7 linked regions of the Callithrix jacchus genome follow. The protein of the gene in region 5 purifies or fractionates together with the protein of the main gene of each other region. This does not show direct contact. Links are inferred from orthologs where the notes say so. Each region holds a gene or a part of one and is shown on either strand. Other genes may lie near its edges. The genes, in order: AGPAT4, VPS45, ABCB10, LEMD2, SLC39A4, LETMD1 and MGAT1.

Region 1 (3,500 bases), on a different chromosome or scaffold from region 5:
GCCCTCCACTCACCCACGAAGAAGACGAGGATGAAGCTGGCCAGCGTCAGGGAAGACCCGCTCCTGATCATGCTGACCAAGAACTGGAAGAAAGGGTAGAGCATCAATGAGGCCCAAAACAGCCAGTTCACCAGGGTCCAGGGCCGCCTGGGGGGCACCATAGGCGTCTCCGGGAAGGTGCCCGTCCTGTAGTACTCCTCCTGAAAGGCATCCTAGGGGATAGAAAGGGGACCCTCAGACGCCACACGGGGCTTGGTGGCAGGTCCCTCCTAAGGCCCCACTTCTGAGGGAATCACAGACACACACGGGTGCCAATGGGGTTCGGCAGAACTGGGGTCTGTGGCTCCTTCCAGAGAGTGCTTAGTGGGCAGCTGCTGTCTTCTCGATGCTGTAACCAGCTGCCCCCTCCCACAGGGACACTGGGAGTGGCAGGGCTGCTGTAGCTGTCACTGAGTGCAGGGCATGGAGCATGAGCACTGGCGCCAGGCCAGCCTGGGCTAGGATCCACCTGCTGCGGGCAAGCGCCTGCATCCCTGAGCCCAGGCCCCGGTCTGTCTCATGGGGCAGCAGTGCCTTCTACAGCAAGTCAGTGGGAGATGGGAGTGGATACTCCATGGAAACCTGGCCGGCAGTCAGGGAGGAGCTCGCCACCCGGCCCGGCCTTCTCCGCAGCCAGTTCTCCTCGGCTCCTGCGGGGCAGCCCACATGCACCAGGGGTGGTGCTGGCCGTGAGGAGGGGAGCAGAGCTGAGCCAGGCAGCCACAGGGAGTTGCCCAGGTTGTAGCGTGGGCAGCTGCCTCAGCTATTGTGAAAGTTGCACGTGGCTGACACACAAAACGCGTGAGTCACGGCGAGGTCCAGTTTGTGTCCCATGAACTAGCCCGGTAATTTCCCAGTTCTCTAAGGAGTCAAGTTTTCTGGAAAATGAGCTTCCATATAATTGAAATTTATGCTGTTTTCCTTTAACAACTTGAGATAGATAGAAAAGTCTGAAGTACCTCACACTTTTCTTTTCCATTCAGGGTGTACTGAATCACAGGCTTCCTTCGCCTCTCGGAGTCACTTTTAGTATTAGTCACTAATGAGGCCATTTGGGAAGGAGAACCCCCAGCCCTTCCCTGGGCAGTTCAGGTGCCTCTGCTCTGTCCTCGGCCCCCTGCAGCCCATTCACAAGCCTGGTCCAAAGCGTCACTTGTCATGTGACTCTGCTCTTGGACATCAGCCAAGGGAAGCCACATCATCAAGCAGTTAGAGAATAATCAATGTGTGCCAAGCACACCCTCAAGCAGTGAGAGCGATCAGATGGTGGAGGAGACCGAGCAATTTCACACAAAGAGGTGAGCACCATGACAGCAGCATAGGCGACGCCCAGAGAGGTGGCACCCAACCCTGCCAGGGAAGGAAGCAGCACTCCGCCTGCCCACCAGCCTGGCCTGCTTTTTCTTCTCCTGGATTGGGGCCATGGGACACCTGGGAACTAGGCAAGGGGGTGATATTTTTGCACCTTGTTAAAATATATATATATATATATATATATATATATGGCTTTCTTAAGGTGTCATTTCCGTGCCATAAAACCCATTTTAAAAATGGGCAAATGTGGTTTTTGAAAGAATTTTCCGTAATAGTCTTTATAGTACTTTTTTATGGTAATATCACAGAGGGGAACTCATCATCGTGCCTTTTTCTGTCTTGTTTCCAGAAAGACATTTGCTAGGCCAAGATTTTTGTATCTGCATCAATAGCAAGAAAAAGAAAGCACTCCCTTTTCTGTGAGCTGTACAGCTCAGAACTTCCCATGCACTTTATTTTTTGAGACAGAGTCTTGCTCTGTCACACAGGCTGGAGTGCAAAGGCACCATCTCTGCTCACTGCAACCTCCACCTGCTGGGTTCAAGGGATTCTGCCGCCTCAGCCTCCCAGTAGCTGGGATTACAGGCACCCGCCATGATGCCTGGCTTTGTATTTTTGTAGAGACGGGGTTTCACCATGTTGGCCAGGCTGGTCTCGAACACTTGAGCTCAGGTGATCTGCCTCAGCTTCCCAACGTGTTGGGATTACAGGTGTGAGCCACCACATTTGGCCCCATTCACTTTAAAGTTTTCTTTCTCTCTGGTTTAAAACACTAAATCTCACCCCCACCCTTCACTTTTGGCCCATGACATTGCCACAGGACCTCCCACAGACAGCCGGGGAGAGACCAGGGCAGCCAGCTCCGGCCACACTTCAGGCTCCCAAAGCAGAATGTCCACGACCAATCTTGGTCCTACAACTCATTTTGTAGTAAAATTTGCCCCACAGGGAAAGGACTTCGTGTTTTTGTTTCTGTATGTTACTGTCTGGCACAGTATAAAGTTGGAATTGGGAAATGGAGTCACTGAACGAAGGAGAGTCTGTTTGTTTCCAGAAAGAAGCATCAACCCACAAGCTGAAAGGAGGACGAGATCCTACTGATGGGGCAGATTCCCGGGACAAACACCTCCTGCAGCCGGCAACAAAGGCTCACCGGAGGAGACCTGCACAGAGCACATCTGCTCAGCTTCCCAGCCGCTCAGCTCAGCAAAGATAATGTGTCTTAGGGCCCCGGGGAAGGAAGGAGGGGAGGAAGAACAGGAATGAAAAAAGAACAGAAGAGAAAGCGGGGGAACAGAAGGGAAGAAGGGGCTCCTCTTAGCAGGTGTGGGTGGGGCAGGCTCCATGAGGAGTCCTCGCAAGCCTCGGCCTCAGGCCACAGGCATCACCCGAGTGCACGGCCAGGACTTGCAAAGGACTTACTGGGGCGCCGAGCCTTGAGGCCACTGCTGCCCCTCTAAGGAGCATGACCCTTCCGGTTTAAGTGAAAAAACAACTGCCAGTCCTAAAAGTGGTCCTTGTCCTTGAGGGCCAGAGCAGGGGGCACACTGCTTCCCACTGGCTACCATGCCTGCGTGCCACCCAGAGCTGCTCCCGACTTTGGCCTCCACAAGACAGCTCTGGATGTAGCTTGCTTTCACTTACTTGTCTTTAGAGACAGGGTCTTGCTCTGTTGCCCAGGCTAGAGTGCAGCAGCACAATCATAGCTCACTGTAACCTCGAACTCGTAGACTCAAGCGGTCCTCCCACTTCATCTTCCCCAGTAGCTGGGACTACAGGTGCACACCCCTAGGCCCAGCTAATTTTTTTAATTTTTTGTAAAGAGAGGCTCTCATTATGTTGCCCAGACTGGTTTCAAACCCCTAGCCTCAAGTGATCCTCCATCCTCAGCCTCCCAAAGCGCTGGGATTACTGGCATAGGCCACTGTGCCCAGCCCCTCCTTAAAAGATAATGTTCTTTATTGCTGAGAGAGGGCTGGCTGCAGACTCGTTAATAACTGGCTGTGAGATCTCACCTACCAGGAAAATGCCTGTGCCACCACACGGCAGCACGGCGCGTCCACAGCTGTGACATGAAGGGACCCCTGGTGCCCAGTGCACTGACCTTCTCCTGGTAGAGTTTGTGCAGCCAGGCCGAGCACTTGGCA
Region 2 (4,110 bases), on a different chromosome or scaffold from region 5:
AATCTTAAAGCAAAACATTTTAATAAATCTTTTAAACCAAAAATCACTTCTTCACAATATGCTAGGCAAAAATAACAAAGTGAATTAAAAGATTCCTAAAAGTTCAGAACATGTGGAAAAAGGCAAAAGATAACAGAATATATAAAATGAAAAAAAGAAAAAGGAAGAATTGTTAAAAGAGTTTGAGAGACAATACATAGCAGTGAGTTTCTCTAATAAAAAACGTTAGGAAATAACGAACAAGATGATCTCTAAGATCCCTCTTGAACCAAATTTTCATGACTAAGTGCTATAAATATGAAACAATTGGAAACTATTATAACATAGCATGTATTCATGAATTCGGCAACTATTTATTGAGTGTCCACTGTGTGGCAAGCATTGGGAATACAGGATGAGAAGAAACAGATATTGTGTCTGTATTCATGGAGCTTACTGCTGGTAATCACGCACACCATACAAAAGTTCAAACCATGACAAGCAATAGGGAGATAAAGATGGTGTTGTAAGTGCATATAAGAGGCAGGTTTGACCTGGTCGGCAAAACCAGGAAAGCTTTACTTGAGGAAGTGAAGTTCACAGCAGAGGAAGAGGCCTATGCAAAGGTCCTGCGGCATGACGGAACAAGGGGAATATAGCGGATTGAAAGATTAGGGGGGCTAAGGTGCAGAGTTCAAAAGTGAAATGGTTCAAAATGAGGCTGGAGAAATGGCAGAAACTAGACCATGCTGCACCTCGCGGCCTACAATTAAGGAGTTTTGTCCTTATCATAAAAGCAATGAGAGGTCATTCAAGAATTTCAAGCGGAAGTGTCATGATCAAATTTGCATTTCAGAAAGCACATAATGTACAAGCATGGTAAAATGCATTAGAGTTGAAGAACATGAATATGAAACAAGAAAGTATAAAAAATAAGATGAAAATAAGAAAGAATTTTAATTTTTAATTTTCTAAATTTTATTTTATTATTTTTTTTAAAGATGGGGTTTCACCATGTTGGTCAGGCTGGTCTTGAACTCCCGACCTCAGGTGATCCACCCACCTTGGCCTCCAAAGTGCTTGGATTACAGGCGTGAGCCACCGCGCCCGGCCTAGGAAAGGATTTTCAAAGGAGAGACTCAAGCTAGATTTAGAAGGTGATGGACAAAAACTGACAAATGACCAAAGAACTTTTAATTAGTGAAAGAAGAAAAACAAATAGGGAACAGGAATGAGCATGTAGAATGGCTCATTCCAATGGCAGCCTAGCTGGCTATAGAGGAGAAGCAGATCTAGGACATAGGAAGGCTGGATACAAATGTGCAGCTCAACTAAAGAAGGGCTTTAACTGCTGGCTAAATAAAGATTTAATCATGGAAGTAACACTGAGTCATTACAGGTTCCTGAGCGTAAATGTGAATAAAGTGGTAAAGATTCAAGACATTCATAGCTGTACATAAAATGAAGTGTTGATGGTGTTCAATGTGACAGATACAGAGGTTAATCCAGGAATGAAGCCATGTGGTCTCTGTTGAGAGTAGCTCTTTAGTGGCAATGGGAATAGCTGTGAACCTAAAAGATATCTTGAAGGAAGAACTGGCTGTAAGGGGTCAACTGAAATATGGAAACAAAACGAGAAGAAGGTTATAACACTGATGATCCAGGATAGTTATGATGCCACCGATAATGATAATTACAAATCATGATAATACAAATTTATTTTGCCGTCTTAATGCTTTCAGATCAGAGTGTTCTGCATCTGCCTGGGCAGATGGCAGCCCAGTTTATGCAGTACCTTTGTAGGTCGAAGAAAACAAATTGCCTTCAGGTGTTTCATGATCTCTCGATTTTGAGAATCAATGCGTTCAAAGAGGTACACTTCTTTCTGAAGAATCTCCGACTGTGTGTACACCATACTCACTATGCCAGTCTGTAAAAACAAAGAATTAACTAAAAGTATGCTAGTCTAGAATAATAAAAACAAGTAGCATATCTAGCCTCTTTTTTCATTAATACTTAGCTGGATAAATTAAATAGTAATATATGGAATAACATTTACTGAACATCCAAACAGGTAGGTAACATACGAGAATGAAAAATATACTCTATCCTTTCAGCTGAAGCTTCAAGGTTAAAAAAAAAAAAAAAAATCCTCTCTTTTAACAGGAACAATCCATACATTTCCAAAAATAATTTTTTCTATCACCTTAACGAGTTTTGTTTTCTGGTCTTGGCCCACAAATAACCTGTCATTTCAGCTTGAGCTCCAACAGCTTTACTTTAAAACACAATGTTGAGTGGAAACAGTGGGCCCATCCCAAAGTCTTCCAAGTGCTCTGACATATTCATGATTTCTTTTCAGAGGCTTTTAGAAAAAGATTTCTGATTCCAATAAATTGTTCCGGGTAGAAGTAGTCTCTGGGCAGTGGCTGGAGCCATTTAGACTGAAAATCCATCGTACAAGCTTTATACAACTTTTCAGTCCCACACAAACTGACCCCATTTTCATATCTTTACATTAAATGCTAAATCCTACAGTGGAATGAGACCAGCCTTTGTAAGGTTGAGAGGGTTCCTTCACAAATGCTGAGCAAAAGCAAACTCACCGTCTCTTTATCCATGAGAAGTACTTTCATACCAGGCCCGCTGTCCTCTATCATTTTGGAAATGTACTGCTTCACAGCAAAAACCACGTTCATGGTGGCGAATTGACAGGTGTCCCAGAGCCCTTCCCGCCCCCTTTTCTGGCTAAATTAACCCCCCGGTTTGTTGGCGGGGTCTCAGCTGCTTCCTCCCTGCAGGGCTTGGCTTCCGGGAGTCCGGGCAACCACGGTGCTGGGAGTTGTAGTTCCGCTGGAGAGTACGGGGGACCAAGCCTACCCCGGAGATGGAAAAATCTGGCTGAGACGCCCTGGGCCGCCGCCACGCGGGGGCGCTATTCTACACCCGCATGTAGAGGTGTCTGTGGCCGGGACTCTAGACCCGGTTTGGCCTTTGGTCCCGGAGGCCCAGCCGCAGCCTGAAGCCCAGGAGAGTGGAGCCTCGCAAAATGAGGAAGCTGGCACAAAGCTTGTTTGGAAGCAGGAACGACGGATCGGGGCCATGGTCACTATCTGCGATTAACGCTTTCTTGCGTGGTAGCGAGAGATGAGGGCAAGGGAGGTGGCCTAATGCTCCCGGCCATTTGGGACTCAGAGAGAAGGCATTTAATAAACCACGCGCGGTATTTGCGCAGCAGTGGTCGAGATTCGTCTTCCTGGCTTCACCGGGTCATTAATAAGGCGGGAACAGTGCCTCTGTGTTGGGGCTGCAGAGGCCTGAATTGGTTTTCCCAAGACAGAGGGCATATGAAATTGAACAAATGTTTGTTGAATGAACAAAGGGAACGCCTTTTACGGATGTTTTGGGGAAGAGGACTGCGGTTCCAGCTAGGGTCGGCCTTGGGGGCCCGCAGCCTGCAGGACCACCGGACCTGCGAGTGTCTCTCTCTGCCCTGCCCCCGACTCAGCATCCTGAGCAATTGAACTCTGCCAGCTCCAACTCGCGCGCTGAAACTGCAGGCAAGAGCCGAGTTGCCTGGGTCCTTTGAAATGGGTAGGGAACACGTATCCCGTAGAGCTAAAACAAAGTAGCGTGGGGATTCGAAGCAAAAACTCTCAAGTTTTTATTGAATCTTGAAACCATCAACTTGGAAGGTCTGCATTTGTGTTTACACCACACAGATCTCCCCCTATGAAAAAGAGAATAGATGTTTGGTTTTTGCCCCTTTACTTTGGGGAATTGTAAAATCAGGAAGATGAGAAACAAGTGCTAGAAATCAGTAACTATAAATGCTTATGAATAGTTTCACCAAAATAATGACAGAGTTTGTGGTCAATAGATTCAGCGTTACCAAATAAATTCTTTATATTGTAAGAAATACACGATTAAAATAACCAATAGCACTTTAGCATTAATGTGCTTGAGATTATGCAACATTATATACAATTTTCAAATCCCTTAAGGAAGATCGGAACCACTGAAATATAAGAGATTTTTGTCACCTCTGAAACTGTGAAGAATGTGTTTTGTTTTGTTTTTCAATTTTTCTACCAAGTAAATAAAGCTTCCCTTTAGGCATTTTCTAATTTT
Region 3 (2,771 bases), on a different chromosome or scaffold from region 5:
ACAAACTTTGATCAGGAGGAATGAATGGGACTTTTAATTACAACATGTTTTTCTATTTGTGTAATGTTAGTCTTTTCTTTTTTTTTTTTTTAATCTCAGACGGAGTTTCGCTGTTGTTACCCAGGCTGGACTGCAATGGCATGATCTCGGCTTACCACAACCTCCGCCTCCTGGGTTCAAGCAATTCTCCTGCCTCAGCCTCCCGAGTAGTTGGGACTACAGGCACCCACCACCATGCCCAGCTAATTTTTGTATTTTTAGCTGGGGTTTCACCTTGTTGACCAGGATGGTCTCGATCTCTTGACCTCGTGATCCACCCACCTCAGCCTCCCAAAGTGCTGGGATTACAGGTGTGAACCACTGCGCCCGGCTATGTTAAGTCTTTTCTGGATTCCTGAATCTCCACAGCCAAATTCTAGTAAGCAACAATGTAGTTTTATAAGAAGTGACAGACTGCTGCTTTGGTTCTTAGGTCATTAAAAAAAAGTGACAGACACAGATAAAGTTCACTATAAATTTTAATCTATGATTAAAATATTACCTAAAGATATAATTGAATATCATGTATCAGAAAATAAAACATAACAATGAAATGCAATTTTGTAAATACTTCTATGGTACAAGGATTATTTTTCTCAGATTCAACCTTGTAATTATGTTTTGTTTGCTTTCTGAAAATCACACTTTATAAAGAACACAAGTAGAACTTGTTAAAATGATTGTCACAGATATACTGTTTACTAATTCAAAGAACACTACATTCATTCATTCATATCAATTTTATTCATTAATAAATTATGAAGAATGAAATATAATATTCCATGTTTTTCATGAAATAGTGGTTTCGTCTTCCAGTCTAATCAGGGAACTAATAAATGCTTAGTTCATGGAAATACTTCCGTTTTATTTACACTGACATAATTACTTATTGGAGTCTAGCCTCATCAGTGGAGAAAAAGCACTTTTTCTAAAGGCAACAGCAAATTAACAGCACTGATACAAATTATAGCAAATTCAATGGTTGTCAGCATTGCTTTAGGAATTTTGAGACTTAATAAAACTATAACCATAAATAAAAGGGCTTATTAATGTCTTCTTTTCAGGAGAGTGATACATTCTGAAGGTTTTTTGTTATTCTGTTGAATAGTAAGAACTTCCAAACTTAAATGTCTTAAGGCTAAATGGTAGTTATAGTCCTCAGATTTTAGCCTTATTAATGAAATTCTAAAAGTATTATAAAAAAATGAAGATTCAATTTGTCTTGGAATTATAAATTTGTAACAGATATTTTTCAAAATACATGCCTTCAAACAACTTAAATGCAAAATTCATTCATTCTTAATACCCAACAGTTAATGCCTTGCTTCCCAAAAGTACTCATATAAACATTGAATTAAAAAAACAGGTTTTCCTGTGTAAAAAATGCAGTTTCTGCCCTTTTAAAAACATGTCAGGCTTTCATGTGCCAAAATGTTGAAAACTGCACATACTGAAACATAGTTCCCATAGGAACACATATTCCTCAACTCTCACACATTTGAAGACACAGGAGATGGGCAACATAAATGTTCCCTTCTTTCCAGCTGACTTTAACTAGTTAACCAGGTTTGCTTCATGAGATTATCAGAATAAAATAAAGGGTTAAATTTTCATTTTCCATTACTTTACCTAGTAAAATTAGACTTAAAGCAGGTGGAATACTACCAGAAGAATTACACAGTGATTGGTAAACTGGCCTAAAATAATCAGGCTTTTTATTTGTAATTCCCTTTTAAAAGTTGTCATTTGACAATAACTTCAATCTTTAACAGCAAGGAAAAGAAAATGAGGTGCCATGCTATATTCATTAAAATATTTCACGATAAAAGAAAATACAAAACCTGAAAATAACTTCAGTGCTATAGACATTTAAAAAGTTGCAATTATTAAAACTCTGAATAAAAAGATCTTGAGAACAGGTACATTTCAAAATAATATTTTACATACTTTGGAAAAAATAGGTATTTTTCAAATAACTTGTTACATAGTTTACATATTTCATATAGTCTCTTTTTTTCTGCGTCACTATTTTGTATTAAAGTCTTTCATATTGTTTACCAGTAATTGCTTCTTTATGCTGACATAAAACTTTGTTTGTTCATTAGTTTTCTGTATATCCCATTTGGTTTTGAAAGCAGTTCTTCATGTTTTCCATATTCAGTAATTTTTCCTTGGTCAAGAACAGCAACCACATTAGCATTCTTAATGGTGGAGAGACGATGGGCAATAATTAACACCGTTCTTCCATCCATCAGTCGATCTAGAGCTTCTTGAACAAGGAACTCATTTTCAGCATCCAGCGCACTGACACAGGAGCACACACATAAGAAAGCAAAGATGTCAGTGCCAGCCGTACTCCAGGCTCATGTACTTCCTGATACACAGCGGCCCTTCCTGAGCAATGAATTTTTACTAAGATCAAAATTTCAGCTGTTTGGGACTCCTTGATCTCCATAAAACTATACTGTGATATAAGGAGAAAGGCATTCTGTACAGTTGCAGCTTACAGAATGATTAGGATTGATAGCAACCATGTCTGAAGTGGACCTAGAACCCTCAATTATGACTCAGTCTGCCCACTGCTTTTCAACTCTCATTATTTATTCAGCCTCCATCAATTTAAAGTAAAGGGGGGGAAGCATTTTCAGTTATATCCACTTTGAGGTACAGAATTAAAACGTTTTGGTGAAGAAAGAATTTGGTTTCCTACATATAATCACATAAATTATTAA
Region 4 (3,500 bases), on a different chromosome or scaffold from region 5:
CCACAGGAGTGAGTCTGCAGCTGTGGAGAGCTCCGAGCAGTGCCTGGCTCCCAGCGAGCACTCAGCAAGGGTGAGCTCTCAGCATCACCCAGCAGATGACAGCATCTAGCCAGAAAACACAGCAGAGTCTGCTGGGGAGGGACCCCAACCAGAGCTAACACTGGGGGCCCTGCTGACTATCTCCTGGGACTCTGTCCCCTTCTCCACCCCGGTTTTGTCAGACCCCAGTGTACAACTCTGGCAGTCACAGCCCTTGTGGAAGCCCTGCAGCTGTGCATGACAATGGCCCTGCCACCCCTTCCCATGAAACCATGTGCCCTGGAAGCTGACCCCATTCACTGGTGTGAAACTTTGCTTTCAATTACATGTATATGCATGAGTGTGTGGGAACTGGACCACGAAGTTGCAGGTATCAGGTGTTTCTGGCTGAGGGTCATGGTTTAAAAAGTTTGAAAAACAATCTCCTCCTCCTTGCCAGTGACTGACTCATAAACAGACAAGTAACTAATTCTGGTCAACAGAGCCTCAAGGAGTGTGTCACTGAAGGCTACTGGGAACAGTTTCTCTTGCTTCTAAGAGAGCAATAGGAGGCCCACTTGTCCCCTGCTGGCTGTGACAAGGCAGACAGTGCCCTAACTGCTGTTGGCCACCATCTGCAACCATCAGGAATCCCAGCCTGCTGATAACATCCATGGAGGAATGTGGGACCATGAGAATCACAGAGCAGTGGAACCAGAGACCTGACTGTTGTGTGCCTGGAGCCCACGCAGCTCTGAGCTTCACTTGCAGAGACCTGGGAGATCCTTCACTACTTGCACCTTGCGGGGAGGGTGCTGCTACTACATGGAGCCCAAGGCCTCCCAACTGGTATCACCACTGCCAGTGTTCTGTCTACAGAGGTGCAGGATTGCGCTTTCATACGTCTTCTCTAGCTCATCCTGCCATAAAGAGCTGAGCACGCTGGGGAGCAGCAGGAGGGAGAACAGTGCCACTCTTGGCCTTGGGGGATGTGCTGCCGTTGGCTGACATCTGACTCAAGGCTCTGGGCTTCCTTCTGTAGTGCTCACTGGGGTCAGACCCCGCCTCACCCCATGCCCAGTGCCCCAGCCAGGGACTCACCGGCTCTGTGGAGGGATCAGGGTGTCTCGCACATGCAAGATGCCTACGTATGGGTAGCGCTCCATGTCCTGCTCCCAGTCCACATAATGGTCCTGGACCACGTCTGCAGGAGAGAGCACACCGTTTAGGGCAAGGACCTTCCAGCTGGCACTGGCAGGCCTTTTCTCACTGGGGGGCCACGCACCTATAATCTTCTTCACCATCTCATACATGGCCTGTTCCTCTTCTTCTAACTTCCGCCACCGATATTTCAGGAGAATTAGGAGCCCCCACAAAAAAGCCAAGCCTGTGAGGGAACAAAACACCATTACTCCCTCACACTTCCTGTGGCAGTGGGTCTCACCAACGACAAGACACTGTGACGGAGGCCATCGGGGATCTGCCACATGGGTTTGGGTGCCTACTACGTGTCAGGCTCAGGGCCAGCATGCAGGAAACAAAGGACCAAGAAATGCAGGAGGAGGACAGACTATTAAGTGATCATCTTCCTCCCGCCGGCTGTCACCACAGCGGCATCCCCAGCCGTCCAGATCTCGGCTCCTCCCAGCCTCATTCCGGAGCTTTCATCTCCTCCCTTGTGAACCAGAACGCGGTGTTTCATACATATATACATGCCAGGGCCCTTTGTATTCGGAGATGCTGCTGCCGATAATGATTTCTGTGCCTGATGGTGTGGGGGAGGGAGCTGTGTGTACACCGAGGCGGTCTGTGATCTGCAGCTCCAACTGACTCTGGAGAGCAGTGGTTTCTGCGACCTGGCCTTTTGCCTTCAGAGACACCCTGAGGTCTCTGCTCAAAGGCAGCCCCTAATGTCAGGAGATGAGACTGGTGCTCTCCTTTCAGCTCAGCACCCTGAGTCCTTCTTGCTTTTCATCAGGTATCTGTAGCTCTCCAGGAGATGTTTACATTTTTCAAGGAGTAAAATTAGGCCAAGCCCCGACTGTGCGTCCTGCTGGAAGCTGGTTCACACTGGCATTCCTGCAGAGCCCAGAAGGGGTGGGGCCCGGCTCCTGCCCAGGCCCGGCTCCCACTCAGGAAACCTGACAGTCCCCTGCCCTGAATCAAGGACATTTTCTACTTATCCTCACGTTCCTGCCACCAATCTCCAAAGGTAAAGACAACTCCGGGCAGAGGCTGACTTGTTCATCTCCTCTGTTTTATGAGACAGACCTCAGGTTCACTAGACAGAAATAAACCCTCCGGGCCTGGGAATTTCTATAGCTCATCACTCACCCAGGAGTGCACCTGACTGCATAGAAGGGGAGGGAAAGCGGCCAAAGACTTACACCAGAAGAAGATGAGCACGTTGGTAAGAGCAGTGAGCAGGGCGCGGCTCAGGCGGCAGCCGACACCCATGCGGGGACGGGCAGATTCCAGGCAGACCACCTTGTCCACAGTCGTCACCAGTTCAGACTGGTCTTCTCCTTTCAACCTGCAAAGGACACAGGGCTCTAAACATGTTCAAGAGCTCCAAAGAAAGGCGCTTCAAACAGAAGGAAGGGAAAGAAGGAGGGGACGTCAGGCCTCTACTTGCTTATAGAATTGTCTTGGTATCCTGGCTACACGCTTTCCAGAAATTTCCCACATTGGCTACTTAGAATGAATAAAGCTTTAAAGACGGCAGCAGATTTGAGCCCCTACCGCTAAAGCGATGTCCCCCTCTGTGGGGTCTTTGACAGCCTCTCTCAGCGTGCAGGAGATTAAACTGTAAATTGGATTCCCACCCCCCAGCATAGAGAAATGGAAATGTTTACTGAATCACTAGCTTTGCAATTGCATGACAAGAACTGAAAGAATCTGGGAGGTTGCGCTTTTCCTCCGCGACGAGGAGGCACAGAAGCTGTTTAAGCGTAAAGATCACAGGGCATCCGTGAGGCTCATGGGGAATGAAAACCACCAGGCTCCCCGAGGCCAGACCCCAGCCACAGCGCCACCATGGTCTCTGGCCAGGTGGTGTCAGGACCTGCAGAGATGTGGACACCAGAGCCTTCTTCCAGCTAGCTGGCCCAGGGTGAGAATATCATGCTCTTGATGTTGCACGCTGGAAGGGCTGGCATCCCAAGTGTCCTGATTTCTCAGGACCCACTTTCAACATGGTCATCCTGAGTGGCTCAGCCACCCTCCAGGCTGCCTTCCCCAACATGAAAAGGCGAGTGTCATCGTTCTTCTGTGTTAGCAGCTTCAGTGAGCACTGCTGCTGAGGATAAAATCCGTATTCTTCTCCACCTTTTCTAACACAGGAAAATTGCTCAGCTACTCAGGGCAGCTTTTTTTTTTTTTTTAAGTCAACGAATTTTAATCGTGCCATGCATCCAGTTATCCAGCTTGAGGCTGAGCTGCCCAAGGGGCTTATGCTGGATGCAGTGCTGATGGAATTAGTA
Region 5 (4,059 bases):
GCCAGGTGGGCTGTGGGCTGAGGCCCTCTTCACTGTGTGTGTGCAGCCCCAACACCTGGGGAGTAGGGGCACTGGACTGGGGGAGGGGTCTCAGGGTACCTCCTCCCCAGACCCAGGGAGAGGGGTCAGGGTTCAGTGCTGGGGTGGGTAAGGGCCCTGGAGGGCATGGCCTGGGAGTCCAAGGTGGGGAAGGAAGGGCGGCGGTCAGGGAGGGTTGTGGGGGACAGACCTTGGGCATCAGATGCAGGACAGCGTCCCCAGTGAGTGCACCCACTGCCAGGCTCAGGAAGGTCTGCAGGACATAGTGGGTGACCCCCCTGCAGCCAGTGCAGGTCAGCAGCAGGAGGCCAAAAATGGCACAGAGGCAGATGAGCAGCGTGGCCAGGGAGCCATACAGATAGCCTGGGGGCAGATGAGGCCAGTGAGAGCTTTTCTTCTAGACTCAGCCCCTGCTTCTGGGGTGTTGCTCACCGGGGCTGCAAGTGCTCAGTGTGCGCCAGGCCTTCACTCAAGCCGACCCTCCTGCCTCAAAGTGCCACTCCCCTCCTGGAGACCCCCCTTTCCCTGTGTCTGCTGTTTCTACCCCCAGCCCCTGCCTGCTCTCTCCATCCCTCATTCTCTGCAGCCACTTCTTCCTCCCTCCATGGGTCCCACCTCCGAGCTGCCAGCGCAGTGCCAGGGCAGGCACTCACTCTCTGCCTGGGTGAGCTGGTCCTGGACGGGGGGCCCATGCTGGGAGGTGCAGGCTCCACTCAGCTGCTGTTGGAGCAGGGCAGGGCTCAGTTGGGCCCAGGCCTCCGGGGTCACCCCTGCCTCCTCCGACAGTCCATACACAGCCATCATGTCCCTGGCACTCAGGCATACCTGGGAGTGGCAGGACAGGTCAGGGGCCTGAGCAGACCCCAGTGGGGCCAATCTTACCCCAGGGCACAGCTCACCGTGTCCCACACGCTGGAGCTGCTGTTGGAGGTAGAGAGGGGCACAGGGTCCTGGCTGCTGGCCCTCCTGTGCTGATGACTGTGGTTGTCATGGGCCTCCCTGCCCACCCCCAGGCGCCGCATCAAGGCTGACAGCTCTGGCAGGGAGAATGGTCGGCACCATGAGTCTGTGTGGGCTCCAGCCCTGCTGCCCAGGGACACAGAGGCTGGGGCTCAGGGGCGCCCCCATCCACAGCCCAGCCCAGGCCTCACCGGCCAGCGTGATAGGAGCCTCACTGCCGTGTTGCTGGAACACAAAGTCCACAAAGTACTGAGGGCTGGGCAAAGCGAGGAAGCAAGACCCGCTCCTGACGTGGTCCAGCAGGGCAGCCAGGACGCCCCCAGCACTGCCTGGAGCCCCCGCCTCCACAGCCTCCTCCAGCAGCTGCGGGATGTCTACGCAGGCCTGAGGAAGAGGGGCCTGGCCTCAGCCTTCAGTGTGACCTTGTATGCAGCTCTGCCACCCACCCGCTGGATGCATCTCCCTCCAAGGCAGGATGTGCCCCACCAGCCCAGCCCTCCCTGGAGCCGCAGCCCTCCCTGCTGGGACCAGCTGCCCCAGGCTCCCACTCAGCCCTCTGGTTCCCTCCTCATGAGACCCCCACCTGATCAGTAGTGAGCCCCACATTGTGAATCCCCAGCCCGAGGCCGACCCCCAGGCATCTCTCCAGGCCCCCAGGCTCCCTAAAGGCTCTGCAGGCCCGGCCCCCTTGGCTGTGGGGCCCTCGTCACCCATTCCCCTAGTCTGCCTGGTCTCTCTCTCACCGTCTTGAGGGCCTGGCCAGCAGCCCGGGCTTGCATCCTCTGCAGCAGCCTGCTCAGGCCCAGGATCAAGCCCTCAGGGCTTTCGAGCCGGGCCAGGAGGTCATCCGCATGAGAGGCCCAGCCGCCAGCCTGAGCGCCCTCACATATGCCCTCGGGGTTGCTGAGGTACAGGGCAGCAGCGGCACTGAGGCGGGCGATATACCCAGTCTCCAGGACTGGACCCGGGGGTTCGCCCAGGCTCAGGGCATCCTCCACAGAAAAGCACTGTGGGCAGAGATGGGTGGGCAGGGGCGCTGGGCCCACCAGGGAGAGGAGAAGCCAGCCCAGCCAAGGGGCTTCCCAGCAGGCCCCTTCCCACTCCTCTCCCTCTCATGTCCAACAGCATCCGCCACCCATTCTCAACTCCTTATGTCCTTCTGTCTCCCCAGGCCCCTGTTCTGTTTCCCCAACTACGGGGTGCATGCAGAGGGGTCCCCAACAGTGGTCCCCCATTCCCGGGGGACTCCCCTAGAGCCACTGCCAATTTGATGGCTGGGGCCAGCAGGGGGAGGTGGCCCCAGGGTCCTGGGGAGAAGAGGGGCTGTGTGTCCATGGAGAGGCAGACCCGTCTGCCCCCAATGAGCAGAAGGGTGGGCTCTAGCCTGCAGGCAGGGCAGGGTGCCCAGGTACTACTGCCAGCCTCCGCCGCCTCCTGGAGTTTGCCCAGGGTCCTTTGCTGCTGGCTAGCAGGGCGGAGCAGGCGGCAAGAGGCCAGGGCTGCGGGACCCGTCGGGTGGGGCTGTTACCTTTCCACACGGCCCGTTGGTGCAGTGCACACGGTCCGCCAGCGTATTTAACAGGCTGCCCAGCGCCTCTTGATCCAGAGCGCCCTGGCCAGAGGTGAGCAGGCTCAGCAGACCAGCAGACGGGGACGCCGTCACCGTCACCACCAGCACAGCCAGCAGCAGCCCCAGCTCTAGCGGGACCAGGGCCGCCATACTCAGCTCCCAGTGTGCTCAGTGGGTGTTGCTTCTGGGCTGGCTGAGGGCGGCTTTGCTGGGGCTGCCTGGGGCCAGACTGGGGCTGGGCTAGGACCCGCCCGCGTGAGGACCTCTCCCAGGTATTCCTGCAGAGCTCTGTGATTGGCTGCTGGAGTTACCTGGGTTAACCATTCCAGCGGCAGATCCTCCCCGACAGCCTGGAGCCACTGCCTGTGGGGGGCAAGGGCTGGGCCCCTTCCCCTGGATGGGCAGTCTGGGTATCTGCTCCTCTGCCAGCAACCCCCCAAGCTGTGAGGCAGGGCCAGGGTGTCCCCTTCTGGCTCTCCATCTGGGGGCTGCTTCCAAGCTTGGGGGACGCAGGGCAGAGGTTCACAGATGCTCTTAGAGCCCCAGGCCCAGGCCTCGGCCCCCTCCTGACAGCCCTTAGCAGAGGCTGCCCAGACGCCCTTGGTGGCCCGGTTGGGGGTGGGGACATGGGCCTCTCTCCTCCTGGGTCATGGGCTGTGGTCCCTGTTGGGGACGGTGATGGGGTTGAAAGAACTGAAAAGGTGCCTGCTGCGTCACGCTCCTCTAGGCTGAGGACAGCCCCAAGAAGCTCCAGCACAGACAAACAGGAGACGGACCTGGGTCCCAGCAGCCACCTGGCCAGGCTTGTGTCGGGACAAGGTTGGGGCAAGACCCCAGCTCTAGGCCTGGGGGCAGGGAGGCTGTGGCTCCCAGCCCTGCCCTCCCTGCGGACTCCCTCTCTGGCCTTTGAGCCCAGAGGCCTTATCTCTACTGCGGTGGTGGAGGCAGGAAGTCTGGGGGAAGGGGCAGCAGATCTCAGGGCAGCTTTGCGAAGTGGGAGCCTGGATGCCGCCTCCTGCCCAGCCCAGCCAGCCTGACCCTGAGTGTTGTGGGTGGGGCTGGGGTGGGGAGCTGGGCTCCTGAGGCCCAAGGACTCTGTCCTGCCATGCACAGGGCAGGGCGCAGCAGGGCAGGACGGGCATTGGGCCCAGTGTCCTGGGGTCAGGGTGCTTCCCCTTCTGGCCTCACCTTGCCATGCAGCAGATCTCATGGTGTCCTTCTCGCTAGGCCCACCCACAGTGGTATCCCTCTGGGGGCCCTTAGGGGAGACCACCTGTGGGTGTAGAAAATTTCTGGGTCCCAGGACCACAAGGGGGGCAGCTCTGCACACAGCCTGAAGATGCTGCGGACCCAAACTGGCCCTTTCTCTCCCACATGACCCCAGTACCAGTGGCCGGCTGGAGCCTCCCATGGCTCCAGAGCCTATTTTAGCTTCAGGACAAAGGTCTTGGTCTGGTCCTGACCCTGTGCCCAGTCTGTCTGCACACAGC
Region 6 (4,227 bases), on a different chromosome or scaffold from region 5:
ACCCCGTCTCTACTAAAAATACAAAAACTTAGCTGGGCACAGTAGCACGTGCCTGTAATCCCAGCTACTCAGGAGGCTGAGGCAGGTGAATTGCCTGAACCCAGGAGGTGGAGGTTGCGGTGAGCTGAGATCGCACCATTGCACTCCAGCCTGGGTAACAAGAGTGAAACTCCGTCACAAAATAAATAAATAAATAAATAATAAATAGGCCCGGCGCGGTGGCTCATGCCTATAATCCCAGCACTTTGGGAGGCCGAGGCGGGTGGATCACGAGGTCAAGAGATTGAAACCATCATGGTCAACATGGTGAAACCCCGTCTCTACTAAAAATACAAAAATTAGCTGGGCATGGTGGCGTGTGCCTGTAATCCCAGCTACTCGGGAGGGTGAGGCAGGAGAATTGCTTGAACCCAGAAGGCGGAGGTTGCGGTGAGCCGAGATCGTGCAATTGCACTCCAGTCTGGGTTACAAGAGCAAAACTCCGTCTCAAAATAAATAAATAAATAAATAAATAAAGTAATCTAATTGAATATATTTCTATATTTTAAATCTTCATTCTATGAAAATTCTTGCATCTATTTTTAAGGCTTTCATATTTATCAATGATTTCCATGTCATTATATGATGTCTCAACTGTCTTCAAAATAATACCTAAGGCGAGTATATAAACGAAGATTGGCAGCCATGAGTTACGATAATGAAGTGAGGTGAATACATGGAACTTTGTTACACTATTCTCTCTACTTTTGCGTATGTTTAAAAATTTCCATAATACAAAGTTTAAAAACAAACACAAATGCTTTCATCTCTTTCTCTCATTTGATCCTATTTATCTACATGAGAACAGAAAAAGCAGCCAATTTTATCTCCACTTTACAGATTAAGGATAAGTAATTTTTCAAGTCCATGAAGCTAGTAATAAGATAATGTTCAGAGTTGACAGTGAAGTTTAGTACAGTGTTATGATAAAAACATAGAGCATATTGGCCAGGCGCGGTGGCTCACGCCTGTAATCCTAGCACTTTGGGAGGCCGAGGTGGGTGGATCACCTGAGGTCAGGAGTTCAAGACCAGCCTGGCCATCATGGTAAAACCCCATCTTTAAAAAAAAAAAAAAAAATCATAGAGCATATTATAGATTGGTGCAAAAGCAATTTCGGTTTTTGCCATTGAAAGACAAAAGCCCCAATTACTTCTGTACCAACCTACAATATTGTTATCTATCATTTAGATAACAATCACTAACATTTATTTGGCACTTACTAAGGATCAGGACCTGTTCTGTGTACTTTACATATATCGATTTTTTTTATCTTCACAACCATGTGATAAATAGGTAGGTTCTATAACTCCCATTTTACAGATTAAAAAAACAAAAAACAGAGAGGTTAGTTAATTAGTCCAATCACACAGTGATGAGCTGAAATGTGATTCAGGCACTCTGGCTCCAGAGTAGACACCTGGCACTACACATATCATCTCCTAGTAACTAAGGATCTCTGATTTGAAACCAAACATCTAGAAACCAAGTATTATGCAGTGCTATTTCCACTACAACATGCTACCTAACATAGATTTGTAACAAGGGTTAGACCTCATTTTCCTATGGGTCACAGGAAATCAATCACAGGGCAGGTCTGTACAGCCATAGATCCCTGCCCTGCGCTGGACAAAAAGATTTCTACTATAGCCAGGTGTGTGGTTAAGAAAAGTCCAAGAACATACCTATATTCTCCCTCCCCCATCGTGCTGCTGTCATAAGTTGTTTCTCGTAACATCTTTCTAGAAACATTCTCAAGAAGTGCTAATTTATAAGAATTAGTTTAAGGCACAAGCATTTATGAAATATAAGATATCTTGGCTCACATCCCCATAGCAGAACCTGCAAATGATCTTATTTATTCGAACTCTCTGATCCTGCCCAAGAGCTGATTCAGGAATTTCTCTTATAGTTCCGTTTTTACCTTTCGTGAAGATGGTGTACAGGACATAGAAGCGGGGGAAATGACGACCCAAGAAACGATGGTATTTCCCATTAATCGCTTTTGTCTTGGTCACCACATAAGACATCAAGTTCTTCACATCTGCCTTTGGAGAAAGGTGAAGCTTTGAAGACCTACAAGGAAGATCAAAGAGACTATCTGGGAACCGGTCCTAGAAGCTCCCTCACGCCTTGAGTCCCTAACGTAAAGCAGGAGTCTCGGAGAATGTATGCCAAGGCTTGACACTTCTGAAATCCAAGGAAGATCTTGGGGTCAAGAAGAGATAGGCAATCAGACTGAGAAACAAAGATCAAGCAAAGGCCAGGCAGGAAAGGAACTCAGGGTATGACTCTGGAGAGAGCGCAATGCCTGTGGGACAATTTGAACTGCAGGCTAAGTCAGAGAGAGGTGGAATCGAGATAGCGGCAAAACCTGAGCCGAAAAAAGTGAGGCTGAAAGATGAGCTCAGGAGACGCGGGGAGACCAGACAATATGGGGGCACTGAGAGTAGAGAGGGCCAGGAAGCCACATCACTATGGCTGGGGATCGCAGTTTGAATCCTGAGCAGAAGAAGAAAAATTCCAGGGCCAAGGCGTGGAACTCTTGAGAATTAAGAGAGAATGCAAGCAAGGTTCAGACACTGAGAGCCTGGACGTCAAAAATGCTTTTCTCGCTACAGGTCCCTCACCGAGGGCCCCTCCAAGCCAGGCCAGAGCGACCAAGTTGCAGCCTCCAGGTGACAAAATGTCCAGGGGTGACTGCTGAACCCCACACAGCAGCCCGAGCCCAGCACACCCTGGAGAGCGCCATCTTGACAGCGAGAGAAGGGGGAGAGGGGAGGTTGCTTTTGGGTCAAAGTTAACCGTCTGCGGTGTTCGTTCGAAGACGCATGCGCCTTTTCTGAGCGCTGATTGGTAGCCTTAGCCTCCTTGGCTCCAGCACAAGCCAGGAGAGGAAGGACTCAAAGACTAAGTGCGAAAGGAGGGCCAGGATTGGACACAGCAGTACTTCCTGGTTTAAAGGCGCCGGAAACAGGCTGTCCCTGAGGGAGCAAGTTCTTATGCCACTGGTGTGGGTTTGCGATGCCGAGGACGCCCTCTCCTTGAGGGGCCCAGTGACCCTCCGCGATTCCCTAGGGCCTCATGGCTTCCCAGCTCCGCCCTTGCCCTCTTCCTGGACGCGGGGCGTCGGGGCCTCGACTGTTAGGTACCAGATGTCAGTTTGGCAGTGCCGGGGGCCATGGCGCCTCCTGGGGACTGGGAGGACCCGCGGCGTCCTCTAATGGTGGCGGCGTGGATAGGCCGGGAACTGTCCACTTTCCAGTCACAGTCTGGCAGCGAATGTTGGAGGCCTGGGAGCGGCCCTTGTGCAGACTAAGTACACTTTTTCCTTTCTTTGTCGTTTCCAGAACTAAGTTTGTGGGAAAATGGTTTTCGTTAAGAGCCTACCGAAGACCAAGCTCTGTCTCAAATGTTACTTTTCTGAGAGGATTTCTCTGACCACCCTATCTGAAGTAATGCCAGCAAAAAAGGACACACTTCACACTTATTCTAATGTTACTCCTCTTTTTTTTTCTTTTTTGGGACAGGATCTCGCTCTGTCGCCGAGACTCGAGTGCAGTGGCGCGATCTCGATTCACTGCAACCTCTGCCTCCCAGGTTCAAGCGATTCTCCTGCCTCAGCCTCCCCAGGAGCTGAGACTACAGGTGTGTACCACCACACGCGGTGAATTTTTTGTATTTTAGTACAGAGGGGGTTTCACCATCTTGGCCAGGATTGTCTTAATATCCTGACTTTGTGATCCATCTGCCTCAGCCTCTCAAAGTGCTGGGATTACAGGCGTGAGCCACCACGCCCAGCCTTGTATTTTGTTTATAGCATCTGTCACTTATAGTGTTTATATATTTGTGTCCTTGTTTGATGGCTCCCTGAACTAGAATGAGGGTAAGCATCTTCTCTGCCTTCTTCATTGCTGCACCTCCAACTCTGCCATAGTTAGCACATAGTAGGTGCTCCATAAACATTTTTGAATAAATACTCGAAACTAAGAAGGATTCTCAGAAGTGGTACTCAACTGCCTCCAAGAGTTAGCAGTCCTCCTGGATATATATAAATATTCAATCTTCATGGAGGGTGGTAGAGCATCCCAGGTGGGTGCCCTGGATGTAGGTTCAATCTTCGCACTGCCATTTCTTTTTGTGAATGTTACCTTGGATATGTTACTTTAGTTCTGAGTTTATTTCCCT
Region 7 (4,063 bases), on a different chromosome or scaffold from region 5:
GACTTTAGCGTTTTATTTCATGCAAACTAAGAAGCCACTGTGCGGTTTGGAGCAAAGAAACGACAGGATTCCCGTGGCTGCTGTGCGGAAATGACAGCTACTGGGAGGGTGGAGAGGACAGGGTGACCTAGGTGTTCAGGTGAGAGATGAAGCGGGGCTGTGGATATGCCGAGATGATGCAGCCTAGACACAGACTGAAGGCAGAGTCAACAGGGTTTCTAATCAGATTGTGTCAACAGTGTGAGAGAGTGAGGCTGGCTCTTCGGGTTCTGGCTTGAGTGAAGGGAGCCGCCATTAATGCTGATGGGAAAGACAGGTGGGCGGAGGTTTGGAGATGGGGGAAGAAAAGGGTCTTATTTTCTTCCTCCTTGGAATAATATATTCCAAGCAATATATAATTAAGCAATATGTATTTTTTCCATTAAGAAAGTCCCAAATATTATACTGTTCCAAATAAAAAAATCATTTCAAGACTCCTGACGCAGCAACCATTACAATCCCAGTACTGTTAATGTTCCAGTCAAGTCAGTCCGTGCTCTGGAGACATCCCATGACGCAACACAGGCCAGGAGACCAGGCCTAGATTCCGGTTTTCGAAAAAGGGGGCAAAAACGGAGGCGGCAAATCCATCCCCAGTCCTGGCAAGATTCTCGAAAATGGCGGGAGAGGGCTGCATAAGAACTTCAAAAACGAGCAGCGGGTTCCTTGGATTCAGCGTGAGGGGAAAAAACCGCGGGGCAATTTTGGAACTTAAGAGTCCATGTTTGAAGGAGCCGGAGGCTGCCTGCGAGGAGCCCCGGGCACGACTGTTAGGGCCGCGCCGGCCAGGCCGCCCTCCTCCAGGCAGCCTCGGTTGGGCGGCTTCCGCGCCGGCGGGCCCGGCCGCAGGTACCTGGCCAGCACTTGTCCGAGGGAAGCGCGGGCGCACCCTGCAAGAGTCCTGTCTCGTCAAGAGAGGCAGCGAGAGACAGCAGCAATGAACGAAACAGAATCTTCCTCAACTACTGCTACACAAGAGCCCCCAGCCGAGGAGCAGGAACACACAAGCCCCGTTGCTTTCTGAAAACCTTGTCGCCAGGACCCGCGACAAGCAGGGGAGCAGCGCTCTTTTCGAAAAGCCAGGCCAAGCGGGCCGTTGCTGGGCGACCTTTGGGCGGAGGGAGAGAGCAGGGCTGCCCCGCACCGGCTCCGTCCTCACTTCAGCATCCTCGCCCCGCCCCTCCCGCTCAAGCCCCACCTAGCACCCGGAGGGCTGACGCATGCGTGCTTCTTCCCGCGTGGCTCCAGGAGCCGCGCGCTCCCACAGCCGGCCAGTCTCTTCTGCCCCGCCCCCTCCTGTACGGCCGCTACTCTGCGCCCCGACTTCGTTCTCACAACCTGGTTCTGCCCACACCTGTTCTTCAGCCCTGTGACCAGTGGCTGTAGAACAATCTCAGGCCTGGCCGAGCCACCTCCCTCGCTTCCGTGGTGGCGGTGGTGAAGGGCTGGGGACGGGGTGGGGGGAGGGCGGGTAGAAAAATGGGCGGGATGTGGGAGGTGGCGTTGCTGGCCCACTTCCGGATGCGGGCGGAAGTAGCTGCGGTGGATGGTGGGAGGGGGGAAGGAGTGCGAGGGGAGGGCCGGGCCGTCGGGGGTCGAGGGGGTGGGGCCTGGGCTGGCGCAAGGGATCGGGCCTGGGTCCTGGATTGCTAACCCGGGCGGGCCGCGACTCCTAGCCGAGACCGGGCGGGTGGGCACCAGGTAACGACCCGGCGCAGTTAGGGCTAGGGTCGTCCGCAGGGCGGACCGGTGGGGGTCGGAGTCCAGGGAGGGTCGCGGTGTCACCCCCTGCTGTGAACCCGGAGCTCGGGGTTCCGGGGAGAAGGGTGGGAGGAGTTAAATTCTTGGAGGGGGTGGAGGTCATGTGGACGCCACGCCCCTACAGGAAGGCAGTGGGGGAGGGAGGGGGAGAGACAGAGACAGGGAAAGTGTGAGAGTGTGTGTGTGTCTGTTTTGGAATAAACTTGGAGGGGAGGGGGGCGACAGGGGTGAGCTTCCGGGCTGAGAAATGGGGACACTGGGGGGGTACTGCAAGCAGGATTCGGGCCTTAAGCATTCCAGCAGAGTGTTCTCTAGCCCCGGGAAGGACTTTGACAGTGGTTGGGAATTATATCTCTGGCACAGTTTTGCAAGCAGAGGCGGAGCTGAGGGTTGAAGGAAAAGGAGCAAAGAATGCATGTGGAAGGTGCCAACATCTCGGTCTGGAAAGGATTTATTAACTAGTTTAGTTGAAGAAGGCTGGTGAATTAAAACAGCACCCTAAGAAGCTTGGGAGTTTCGATTATTATGTTGTGCTTTAGACGGGAGGGCAGGAGAAAGGGCGTTATTTTCTCTATTTCTTAGAAGACAGTCCTCAGTAATTTTTCTGTGGTGAGAATGGGTACCACCCATATTTTATCCTGAATCACGTATATGTTTGTACATATATATAATATGTTTATATATAAACACTTGATGAGGTGACTATTCTGGCGTGTGATACCTAAGTAGATGTTTTGTATAATCTTGTGCAGCGTTTAACGAGGGTTTTTTGATGATAGAGCCTAGTATCGACTCTTAATGTAGGTAGGGAGTGGAAACTAGAAGGTTTTAAGACTCTATTTGGGTATATACTAGATTAGAGAATGTTATAATGTTTAAATGTTCTGCAGGTTAACACCGAAATCTGCCTCCTGGGCCATGCGGCTTCTAAGACCTGTTTCTTCTCATGAGCCCCAGCAGAAGACTATGGGCCAGTTCTCACAGTGGATAACTTCCCCTGCTTGAGCAAGAGATGGGATAGTATCTGGGATCTGTCTATCACCAGACTCTGAGCTTAATAAGGCAGCTGAATGAAGGGATGTAACGGACCCCTGAGAGTGGCACTGAAGTCTGCAGTGGGGGGGGAGGGGCCTGGACACACCCCTTCCCCCCCAGACTCCTCCCCTTCAGGGTCAGCTCAGCCATGGACTTTGGACCTGGATAGGAAGAGAGAAGCTGCACTTTGTTTGGTGGATCTGATTTGGGATTCTCAGTTTTGGAAATGGAGTGCTGGATGGGGGCTTGACGATCTCCAGGGGAGCAGCTGAGACAAGAAAGGTAAGGCTCCTGTCTCATTTCCCACTTAGTGACTTGCTGCGCCTGTGCAGGTGTTGCGCGAGTGTGTTTGCCGAGACTACTATTCAGTAAGTCTTATTCAGATGGGTACACTGGAAGCTACACCTTTCCTTTACTCTGTCCGGATGTATACTTGTTCCCAACCTCTCCTTACCCAGGTTGGATGAATGCCTTGGATTGTGAGCAATAGCAGTTGTGAGGTTAGGCCAAGGAGAACATGAAAATAATTCAGGCTTCTGAAGGGAGGTTGGATTAGTTGACGTTTAAGGGCCCTTCCAACAGGGAGATAATAGGATTCCAAGTCAGTCTGGGTTAAGACTGGAATGGATTACCTGGGCAGAGGCAGCTGCTCTGTTTTGGGGAGCTAACTGAATAGGACTGTTGGTAGGGGGGAGGGGGTGGGAATGGTCTAGATAACCTCCTAAGTTGTCTCTCTTCCTCCTTCTAAAACGGGAGCTTAGGCCATGAAAGCTCAGCAAAAGAGCCGAGTAACAGAACATAGGTTTGGGAGTCAGAAGTACTTGTGTTCTAGCTTTGACTTTTTTAGTCAGTGTTCAACCCTACACAGGCCGATTAATCTCTGCCATGTTCTCTTCACCTACTAAATGGGGGAAAAACTAACTTTCCATGTTCACAAGTTGTTACAAGGGGCAAATGAAACAATGAAGGATTTTGAAAAGTATCCAGGGCCATGCTCATAGGAAACAATAACACTGATATTGCTCAATATGCTTTAAAAGCACGGAAACATCTCCAAATTAGGAGTTCTGTTTTCTTATTGAAATAGTGTGCTGGCAAGAACCCAAGAAGATGTCCTTAATTAAAAGTCTGCCCCTGAATCTGTTTCATCCTCTTGTTAAATAATACTTGAGATCGTCAAGTTGTAGAACAGGTGAATGGATCCAAGGAGAACTTGGATTAAAGAATT

Evidence for each region.
Region 1: the proteins of SLC39A4 (region 5) and AGPAT4 purify together in Homo sapiens (affinity purification with mass spectrometry; 3 studies listed by BioGRID and IntAct, with this or other methods). This does not show direct contact. The link is inferred for Callithrix jacchus from reciprocal best matches to the Homo sapiens genes SLC39A4 and AGPAT4.
Region 2: the proteins of SLC39A4 (region 5) and VPS45 purify together in Homo sapiens (affinity purification with mass spectrometry; 3 studies listed by BioGRID and IntAct, counting the BioPlex papers as one, with this or other methods). This does not show direct contact. The link is inferred for Callithrix jacchus from reciprocal best matches to the Homo sapiens genes SLC39A4 and VPS45.
Region 3: the proteins of SLC39A4 (region 5) and ABCB10 purify together in Homo sapiens (affinity purification with mass spectrometry; 3 studies listed by BioGRID and IntAct, counting the BioPlex papers as one, with this or other methods). This does not show direct contact. The link is inferred for Callithrix jacchus from reciprocal best matches to the Homo sapiens genes SLC39A4 and ABCB10.
Region 4: the proteins of SLC39A4 (region 5) and LEMD2 purify together in Homo sapiens (affinity purification with mass spectrometry; 3 studies listed by BioGRID and IntAct, counting the BioPlex papers as one, with this or other methods). This does not show direct contact. The link is inferred for Callithrix jacchus from reciprocal best matches to the Homo sapiens genes SLC39A4 and LEMD2.
Region 6: the proteins of SLC39A4 (region 5) and LETMD1 purify together in Homo sapiens (affinity purification with mass spectrometry; 3 studies listed by BioGRID and IntAct, counting the BioPlex papers as one, with this or other methods). This does not show direct contact. The link is inferred for Callithrix jacchus from reciprocal best matches to the Homo sapiens genes SLC39A4 and LETMD1.
Region 7: the proteins of SLC39A4 (region 5) and MGAT1 purify together in Homo sapiens (affinity purification with mass spectrometry; 3 studies listed by BioGRID and IntAct, with this or other methods). This does not show direct contact. The link is inferred for Callithrix jacchus from reciprocal best matches to the Homo sapiens genes SLC39A4 and MGAT1.

The regions. Positions count from the first base shown.
Region 1 is NC_133505.1:167,620,959-167,624,458, forward strand, and holds part of AGPAT4 (1-acyl-sn-glycerol-3-phosphate acyltransferase delta), read right to left. Parts: coding exon 3,458-3,500; intron 213-3,457; coding exon 14-212; intron 1-13. UniProt on the Homo sapiens protein: Converts 1-acyl-sn-glycerol-3-phosphate (lysophosphatidic acid or LPA) into 1,2-diacyl-sn-glycerol-3-phosphate (phosphatidic acid or PA) by incorporating an acyl moiety at the sn-2 position of the glycerol backbone.
Region 2 is NC_133519.1:9,988,385-9,992,494, reverse strand, and holds the start of VPS45 (vacuolar protein sorting-associated protein 45), read right to left. Parts: upstream 2,801-4,110; 5' UTR 2,679-2,800; coding exon 2,586-2,678; intron 1,910-2,585; coding exon 1,775-1,909; intron 1-1,774. UniProt on the Homo sapiens protein: May play a role in vesicle-mediated protein trafficking from the Golgi stack through the trans-Golgi network.
Region 3 is NC_133520.1:21,036,244-21,039,014, reverse strand, and holds the end of ABCB10 (ATP-binding cassette sub-family B member 10, mitochondrial), read right to left. Parts: intron 2,344-2,771; coding exon 2,112-2,343; 3' UTR 501-2,111; downstream 1-500.
Region 4 is NC_133505.1:42,070,276-42,073,775, forward strand, and holds part of LEMD2 (LEM domain-containing protein 2), read right to left. Parts: intron 2,552-3,500; coding exon 2,406-2,551; intron 1,406-2,405; coding exon 1,304-1,405; intron 1,223-1,303; coding exon 1,120-1,222; intron 1-1,119. UniProt on the Homo sapiens protein: Nuclear lamina-associated inner nuclear membrane protein that is involved in nuclear structure organization, maintenance of nuclear envelope (NE) integrity and NE reformation after mitosis.
Region 5 is NC_133517.1:53,215,004-53,219,062, reverse strand, and holds the start of SLC39A4 (zinc transporter ZIP4), read right to left. Parts: upstream 2,801-4,059; 5' UTR 2,720-2,800; coding exon 2,528-2,719; intron 2,007-2,527; coding exon 1,743-2,006; intron 1,384-1,742; coding exon 1,191-1,383; intron 1,076-1,190; coding exon 939-1,075; intron 865-938; coding exon 693-864; intron 403-692; coding exon 230-402; intron 56-229; coding exon 1-55. UniProt on the Homo sapiens protein: Selective transporter that mediates the uptake of Zn(2+). Plays an essential role for dietary zinc uptake from small intestine. The Zn(2+) uniporter activity is regulated by zinc availability.
Region 6 is NC_133510.1:68,390,127-68,394,353, forward strand, and holds the start of LETMD1 (LETM1 domain-containing protein 1), read right to left. Parts: upstream 2,801-4,227; 5' UTR 2,792-2,800; coding exon 2,670-2,791; intron 2,117-2,669; exon of another isoform or gene 2,116-2,116; coding exon 1,964-2,115; intron 1-1,963. UniProt on the Homo sapiens protein: Plays an essential role for mitochondrial structure and function, as well as thermogenesis of brown adipocytes.
Region 7 is NC_133503.1:73,372,577-73,376,639, reverse strand, and holds the start of MGAT1 (alpha-1,3-mannosyl-glycoprotein 2-beta-N-acetylglucosaminyltransferase), read left to right. Parts: upstream 1-1,263; 5' UTR 1,264-1,476; intron 1,477-1,629; exon of another isoform or gene 1,630-1,740; intron 1,741-1,930; exon of another isoform or gene 1,931-2,409; intron 2,410-2,690; 5' UTR 2,691-3,117; intron 3,118-4,063. UniProt on the Homo sapiens protein: Initiates complex N-linked carbohydrate formation. Essential for the conversion of high-mannose to hybrid and complex N-glycans.